2 linked regions of the Arabidopsis thaliana genome follow. The protein of the gene in region 1 interacts with the protein of each later gene in a pairwise test. Each region holds a gene or a part of one and is shown on either strand. Other genes may lie near its edges.

Region 1 (5,538 bases):
TCAAAGTAAATATTACTAAAAATAACACTAGTTCCACACATATAAATTCCCGATCAACACCATCCATATTCCTCAGACCTGCAAGAACTTTAAAAAGCACAAAAACTAAATAAAAAGAAGAAAAGAAAAGCCTTTCAGGTCTCAAACAATGGAGATGAAGAAGATTGCTTGCGGTGTGCTTTTCGCTGCTGCCTCCATGACCGCCGTCATGGCTGCTGAGGAAGTCGGAGCTCCGGCACCAGGACCTGCATCCGCCGCCTCGGCTGCGTTGCCAGCTCTTGGCTCTTTGGTTGGAGCTTCCCTTGTCTCCCTCTTCAGCTACTACTTGCACTAAGCTATCTTTCATTATGTAATAACAACTCATTATGTGATCTTATTCATTTCCTATTTATTTCCATTTCACTTGTTTATTAATAAAACAGAGAAAGTAATTCAAGAATAAATTTTCTCTTCTTGATTATGTTCATTTTAATTTTTGACTACTGGTTTTTGAAATGTGGATGGTCCCTTGATTTTCAAAACTGGTTATTGGACAAATATTATAGCTTATAATAATGATTATAAAAAAATATTCAACATATTTGTAAATTAGTCATTACAAAATGTCATCAAGTGAAAAATCTTATGATTCACATTATGTTTCATAAGTTGTTGACTTAGACCAAAAAAAAGGAGAAGTTGTTGACTTTTGAAGTGACCTCGTTGACTTGATTTGTTCTTGCGTCTCCGACTCTCTTTCTTTCTTGTGTCCCTTTCTTCACAACTCACAAGACAATATTCTTTTCTGAGTTTAGAGATGTTGCGTCTGTTCAGAAAGAAGAAGAAGCAGAAGAAAGAAGAGGAGATCAATCTCCAGAAGAATGGGAGCTTACTGTTGGAAGAACTCATTGCAACTTCAGGAGGTATATACAATCCCATCCGTACGTTTTCTTCCGACCAAATCCTACAAGCTACAAATCACTTTGACTGGAACTACGTAATCTCTGAAGACAGATTCGTGTGGTACAAAGGCATGATTGAAAACAGACCCGTACTGATCAAGAAATTCCAAGACTGTTCTGTTTTCGACGCTGACAACTTTTACCGTGACATTGCTGTTTCATCTTTGATGAGTAGCCATAAGAATGTTCTCAAGCTCTTGGGGTGTTGTCTAGAGTTTCCTCGTCCGGTTCTCGTGTGTGAATATCCAGAACATGGAGCTCTAAACTGTATAAGATGTGGAAAAGAAGGCGTCCGGTCATTCCCTTGGAATGTAAGGTTGAGAATCGCCAAGGAGATTGCAGATGCTGTAGCGTATCTTCATACTGAATTCCCCAGGACTATAATCCATAGGGATTTAAAGCTTGCAAATATTTTCCTTGACGAGAATTGGTCCGCTAAGCTCTCTTCTTTCAGCCTCAGTATAGTGCTTCCAGAGGGTGAAACTGGCGTAAATGACATGGTTTGCAGGACATCAAGCTATATCGAGCCTGATTACTTTAATACAGGTTTGGTCACCGAGAATGTCGACATCTATAGTCTTGGGATCATCATGCTAATTATTTTGACAGGAAAGTCTGAATACAATTCAGAAGTCGCTGTTTATCTTCCTGTATTGCCTGTCTATGTTGGGAAGTTTCTGGAGCGAGGTTTGTTGACTGAACTCATAGACCCGTCGATATTGGACAGCACGAGTGATGACATTCCCAAGCATTCAAGACTGCAAATGGAAGCGTTCATTGAGCTTGCTTTTAGATGTGTAAGATTCAGACCAGGAGAGAACGTGCCTCGCATGATAGACGTTGCAAAAGAGCTTAAGAAGATAGAGAAACATATATGACCATGCAACCTTTTCTAATGCGACTTGAAACAGGTCTATCTATTATACAGGCTTAGTAGTGAAAATTGCAATCACTGTATCTTGTTTTTGATCGAGCTTTTATTAAATATGTTGTATGTAAGAATCTGAGTTTCCTTGCTACACAATGCAAGAATTGTTTACTTAGATTTATATAGTCCAAGCAACTGATACCTCTTCTTTTGGGCACCAAAGATGCTCCTATCTTCAGTCATGTTCTTGTGATGCCTACTCCGCGAAGATATCTCAATATCCAAAAAGTTCCTTGCGGATCTCTAGCTAGAATTTTTCAATGATGCTTCAATCTGCTTGAGTTCTTTAGCTACTTGGATCATCTTTGGTCTGTCTTCATCTCTCTCCTTACAGCATCTCAAAGCCAGCACCACACATGCTTCCACTTGCAACCTTTGACCACTTGTGATATCTTTCATCAACCTCGGATCTATCACTTCATCAAGCTTCCCATTCTCACATAACTCTCTCACTAAGCTAAGAATACCTTGGAGATCTCCATCAGAAATAGTCATGATAGCCGGTTTACCAGTAATAATAACCAGCAAACAGATTCCAAAGCTGTAGACATCTGTATATTCAGTCACAAAACACGTCTTATGATATAATGGATCGATGTACCCAAATGTTCCTAGAACCCATTCAGCTTCTATTCTCGATTTTCCCTCAGGTAGAGATATTGAGAAGGATAAATCAGACAACTTTGCGGTCCAATTCTTGTCCAAGAAAACATGCATCGGTTTAACATCTCTATGTATGATGATCTTAGGGAATGCCGTGTGAAGATAAGTCACCGCATTAGCAATCTCTTTCCCAATCTTCAACCGTACACTCCACGGCAATAAAGATTCTTCACCATTAACTATAACACCTCCTCGCTGATTCATAGCTCCATGTTCTGCAAATTCAAACACAAGAACCGGAAAAGGAAACTCGAGACAACATCCTAAAAGTTGAAGAAAGTTACTGTGATTACTCATCCGAGCAGACAAGACAATGTCGTTGTAAACCTCTTTAACTCTATGTCGTTTTCCTGTAATCTCATCCTCTGAGAATCTCTTGATCATGTAAGATCTATCTTCAATTTCACCTCTATACCATTTATAGTATACATCTTGCGAGACAAAACAGCTAGAATCGAAATTGTTGGTGGCTTTCAATATCTGCTCAGGAGAAAAACTGCGAATAGGAATGGATTTACCGTTACAATCAGCTACAAGTTCTCTTAAGAAGATGCTTCCGTTATCCAAGAACCACCTCTTCGCCTTGTCCTTTTCCTTCCTTGTCCCAGATCCAGATTTCAGATACTGCTTCTTCATTAGTTCCTTTACCAAAGTATCAACCTTTTGTTGGCGAGATGAATAAAGAGGACACCTTTCTTACCTAAAAGCTTCTGAAGTGTCAAAAGCCATTTCTTTTCTGATCCCAAACGACTCTCGGTTGAAAACGGTGTGTCATAAGAAAGGAAGAAGCAATAAAAAGTCTTGGGTCAAGTTTCTGGGCCTATAGAAAAATAAAGCCCAACTAAAAGCTCATAAGGTGGGAAAACAATATAAGCCCATCCAAAAGATAATAAGGTGGGAACACAAAATAAGCCTAACCAAAAAGTTTTCTACGACAGGCTGATGGATAACAGTTTGTATGGGATGTGAGGAGTCCCTATCAAAACACGTCAATGGTTGGAATTTGTTTCCAAATTTCAAATCGGGAAGAGTAGTAACTCAACATCTTGTATGCATTCAGATATTAAGTCTTTCTTGTTCAAAGAGGAAAACTGAAACAACAGTATTTGTTTGATGAAATCGATGGTGAAGAAGTTGAAGCAGAGTCTGAGATCTGGATCGTTAGAGAAAAGGAAGGAAAAGGAAAAAGACATTCAGGAAGAAAAGTGGTTCTTAGACAACGGAAGCATCTTCTTGAAAGAACTTATTGCTGATTGTAACGGTAAATCCATTCCTATACGTAACTTTTCTTCTGACCAGATCTTGAAAGCTACAAGTAACTTCGGTTCCAGTTGTTTTGTAACCGCAGAGGGGTTTTATGTATGGTACAAAGGTATCATAGAAGATAGATCTTACATGATCAAGAGATTCTCTGAGTATAAAGTTACTCAATACAGAGTAGCAGAGGTTTACAACGAAATTGTCTTGTCTGCTCGGATGAGCAACCACAACAACTTTCTTAAACTTATAGGATTCTGTCTTGAGTTTAGTCTTCCGGTTCTTGTGTTTGAATATGCAGAACATGGAGTTTTGAATCACAGAGGAGGTGTTATAGTCAATGGGGAGGAAGTTATATTGCCTTTGAGTTTAAGGTTGAAGATTGGAAAGGAGATTGCAAATGCTGTGACTTATCTTCACATGGCATTCCCCAAGATCCTCATACATAGACACATTAAGCCAAGGAATGTTTTCTTGGACGAGAATTGGACCCCAAAGTTGTCTGATTTCTCTATCTCTATAAACCTCCCTGAGGGAAAATCAAGAATAGAAGTTGAATGTGTTCAGGGAACAATCGGGTACCTTGATCCAGTATATTATACCACGAAAATGGTGACGGAATATACCGACGTGTACAGCTTTGGAGTCTTCTTGATGGTTATTCTCACTGGTAAACCAGCACTTGCATCCACTAGCTCTGATGGGGACTACAAACATATTGCTAGCTACGTGAAAGGCTTTCATGAGAATGGGCAGCTTGATGGAGTAATAGATCCTAAGGTGATGGAAGACATTACAAGTGCTCAAAAAGTGCATGTGGAAGCGTGTGTGGTGTTGGCGCTGAGATGCTGCGAGCTGAGAGATGAAAACAGACCAAAGATGATCCAAATAGCTAAAGAACTCAAGCAGATTGAGACATTATTTCGGAGATCATAGCTACAGATCCTCTCTGGTATTGTACTATAAAGCCAAGTTCCAGACTATGGAGTGAAAGAGATTTACAATGACATTGTCTTGTGTGACCGCATGAGCAATCGCAGCAACTTTCTCAAGCTATTAGGATGTTGTCTCGAGTTTCCTTTTATGATTCTTGTGTTTCAAGATGCAGAACTTGGAGTTATGAACCATCGAGGAGCTATTAAGGTTAATGGGGAGGAAACTTTACTGCCGTGGAGTTTGCAAATGCATTGACTTATCTTCAGATGGCGTTTCCGAAGATCATCATACACAGAGATGTTAAGCCAGTGAGGATTTTCTTGGATAAGAACTGGACCGCAATGCTGACCAATTTATCGTTTTCCAATCTCTCTTCCTGAGGGAAAAACAAGAATTGAAACTGAAAGAGTAATGGGAACAGTAGGGTACCTGGATCCATCCACGAAGTTTGTGACGGAATATACAGACGTGTACAGCTTTGGAGTCTTTTAGATGGTTGTTCTCACTGCTAGACCAGCTCTTGTCTCTGCTGGATTTGATGGGGAATACAGAGGTATTACTGGCTATGTGAAAGGCTTATACGAGAATGGGAAGCTCGATAAAGTAATTGATCGAATGATGTTCAAAGACAATACAAATGGTCAAAGATCACAGGTGGAAGCATGCGTTGTACTTGCGTTGAGATGCTGTGAGGAAAGAGACGAAGACAGACCGAAGATGATCCAAGTAGCTAAGGAACTCAAGCGGATTGAAACATCACTGAAAGGTGTTAGCTAAATACCTCTTCTCTGTTCTTGGACTGTGAAGTCAAAA
Region 2 (3,246 bases), on another chromosome or scaffold:
CAAATTCATTATCACAAAACAATACTACATTCTATAAAAAAACTGATGACTTGTCTTCTAAACAAGTCTATAAGAATCACTAAATTTAATAAAGTTTGCAGAATTTTTCTGTCAATCTCACATTTAAATTAGTGAATCACTAGTTTGATTAAGAAAAGTAGGTGTTAGTTAATTTCCATTATCATTGTTGCTTTGACTTCTCTAGACATTTGTTTGACTCTTGCTAGAAACTGTCTTCCAGATTTCAGCCAGCATATAAATGTTTGTCTATAGCTTTCACAACATATGTTCTGGAATATTAAAAGAGAAATACCAAAACGATTTACAAGTATGCAACTTAAAAATAGAGAAATTTTTGAGAAAGGCGATAATTCCCTTCGTAAAATTACCGGCAAAAGAAAAAGTGGATAGAGACGCGACACTCTGCGCAAAAGTTTATGGTGAACATTGAGCAATAACATTTAGGGTAACAGACAAAGCTCATATTTAGAAACTGTGACTAAAATGGCAACAATACATGTGTTTGTGATAGCAATCGTACTCCTTCTACAATACATGTGTTAGTGATAACAATAGTACTCCCTCTAAATTTTAAGTGATGTTTAGACATATGTTAGTGATAACAATACATATATATATCATGTATTTCAAATATGTCCTAGCTAGAAAATAATGTTTATTGCATAAATCAAAGATATACAATCACACTCTTTGGACTACAAACCAATATCACCTAGAAAGTAGGGATTTAGAGCACAAAATACTTCAGCACAATACACCGCGATTTAATAGAGACTAAAAATGAATATGTTCTTCAAAGAGGCCAAAAGCTTTATTGGTAAAATAAGTCAGTATTTTGCGTAGATTAATGTAATGTAAGAAGCTGTGAATAGGATGGCGAGAAGAGGGAATGAGAACTTAATAGAACCATCAGATGATGACTTTTCTCTTGGGACTGTTTTTGATCCATTTCCATGTTCTGTTCATAGAGATAATGTCAAAAAAGGATAATGTCAAAATAGATATGATTAGATTAGGTTCTATTTATAAGTTAGTCCTTTACCTGAATGTGAATTAACCGAAGAACCACCTGAAAATAATAAAGTTCTGATGTGTGAGAGAAAAAAGATAGCAAAAATATGAATCTAATGCATGGAAAGTGAGTTTATTTTACTATGGCAGCGACTAGCAGGAGGAGTTTCAACATGACAAGCTTTAGGCAAAGCAAGAGCTTGTGTCTCATTAACATTGATCCCAAGCTGAGAACCTCCACCATCGAGAACCTGACACAAACACTCAGAAGAATACCGGACAACATGAGCCAACTGGTTACAACATTGTTGAGACGGGAGAGAAGTGTTTTGAGTGATGAAGCTGAGACACGGCGCCATGCTGATTAGAACATTTGTGCAACTCGACTGAGCAGAAACAATCGACATTACTCTCATTAAAGCAATAAACAAGATTAAACACATTCTAGGTTTCATGTTTTTCTTGTGTTCCAAGAATCTCTCAAGATTTTTTTTTAATTTAGTTGTTTGATCGCTTAATGGTTTGTGTTGGAGTCTTTTCTTTTGTGGTTACGTAAATAAATAAGAAGTTGAGGCCGCAGAAAAAGACGAAAATAAGGATGTGGCTCAATTTGCATGACCAACTTTTGCAACACCTTATGGTGAAGTTTGTGAAAGAATATGATTACGTTTGGTTTAAGGATATGTTTGTTGAATTATTTTTTGTGATTATATAAAGTTTTTGAGTTTCACCTGATTGAAATTTGATTGCTGACCTTTTCAATGAAAAAAACAAGAAAAAAAATAAGATACGTAGATAAATTTGTAGAAACCATTAAAATTATAAGCAACACCAAACACTTACTTGTGAATTGTTCATTTTAATATGGTTGTTTGAGTTTATTGGTTTAATTTGTGTTGGAGTCTTTTTGGGAGTTCGTAAATAAATAGAAACTGATATATGTCGCATAAAAAAAAAAAACAAAAAGAAGGATGTCAGGATGTGGCTTAATCTGCATGATCTAACTTCTCTATTTGATAAAGAGCATGACCAACTTTTGCAATATAAATATGGTAAAGTTTGCGTTCTTATTCAGAAACTGAGATTCCGATATGCTCCACCATACGTAAACCATTATTAGCCAACACTTCACGATCTTCACGACCACCGAAAAACAAAACCACGACAAGAAAAAACATCTTCTGACGAAACTTAACTCGAACCACCGAGTCCACGGTCAACGAATATTCAAACTAAGCAAAGAGCCTTCAAGAAAAATTCTTCAAGATATCAGATATTTCACGAAGATATCTGCATAACAGCTACGAGGAAATTGTGATTTTATCGTTTCACAAACATCAACAGCTCCATGGATCGTTATGGACGGATAAATCACAATCACTATCCTTTTTCTAGCAGCTGTTGAGCAGGTTTCTTCGTGAATATCTGGCATTTTGGTGGATTTTACAGTTTCACAAGCATCAACAGTTCCATGGATAATTATAACGGTTTCACAAGTCTATGTTTGTTCGTTTTTTCTTTTTTTTAATTGTCTATGTTTGTTATGTTCTCTAAATTTATATTGATTCTCTAAATTTATATTGAGTTCAGTATGTTTGGAAGCACATGAGAACGTTCTTTTGATGATATTATTACCAGTATTCTATATTGGGTCATTCATAGTATTACTATTCCATACATTTCCTATTTGTTGTGGGCTGGTTATTCGTCAGCACCGATTTAGCTTACGATGTGTTCGGGAGCCCTCGTCCAAACGAATATCAACTAAATAAGTAATTAACTTTCCCACTTAAACTTTGAATGGATGCGGCGGACAAAAAGGTCTAATTTTTCTGCAGTTTAATCCATTTTATTTTTGGGCGGACAATAAATCGGTGCGTACCAAATTTATTTGTATATAAAAACGGTTTGCTGCGGTTTTTCTTTTTTTTTGGTCCGAACTACTGCGGACTATAATTGATGAATGGTAAATAAAAAGCGGTATGATCTGTTGAAGGTTTTGTTCGCCTCAACCGCCGTAACCATTAGATTTTTATTTATCCTCTTTAAAAAACAGAAGTATAAAATTTCAAAGTCAACTAAACTATAAAATGTCAAAAACATAAACTGTGGGCTTTGATATTCAATCTAAAAGCCCAAACGAAACTAATCTTCACCCACGTGGACGGACCTTAGTGGCCAGTCACTACCAACTCAGCATCACCCGAAAATATC

The links.
Region 2: the proteins of AT3G57710 (region 1) and AT4G14815 interact in a protein complementation assay, tested with the Arabidopsis thaliana proteins (one large-scale study listed by BioGRID).

What each region holds. Positions count from the first base shown.
Region 1 is NC_003074.8:21,384,121-21,389,658, forward strand, and holds AT3G57710 (Protein kinase superfamily protein), read right to left. Parts: upstream 3,280-5,538; 5' UTR 3,169-3,279; coding exon 2,113-3,168; 3' UTR 1,820-2,112; coding exon of another isoform or gene 797-1,819; 3' UTR 556-796; downstream 1-555. Other genes in the region: AGP23 (arabinogalactan protein 23), read left to right, coding at 149-334; AT3G57700 (Protein kinase superfamily protein), read left to right, coding at 797-1,819; AT3G57720 (Protein kinase superfamily protein), read left to right, coding at 3,646-4,725.
Region 2 is NC_003075.7:8,503,363-8,506,608, reverse strand, and holds AT4G14815 (Bifunctional inhibitor/lipid-transfer protein/seed storage 2S albumin superfamily protein), read right to left. Parts: upstream 1,567-3,246; 5' UTR 1,488-1,566; coding exon 1,175-1,487; intron 1,091-1,174; coding exon 1,064-1,090; intron 980-1,063; coding exon 849-979; 3' UTR 657-848; downstream 1-656. Other genes in the region: AT4G14810 (uncharacterized protein), read right to left, coding at 2,100-2,264, 2,369-2,464.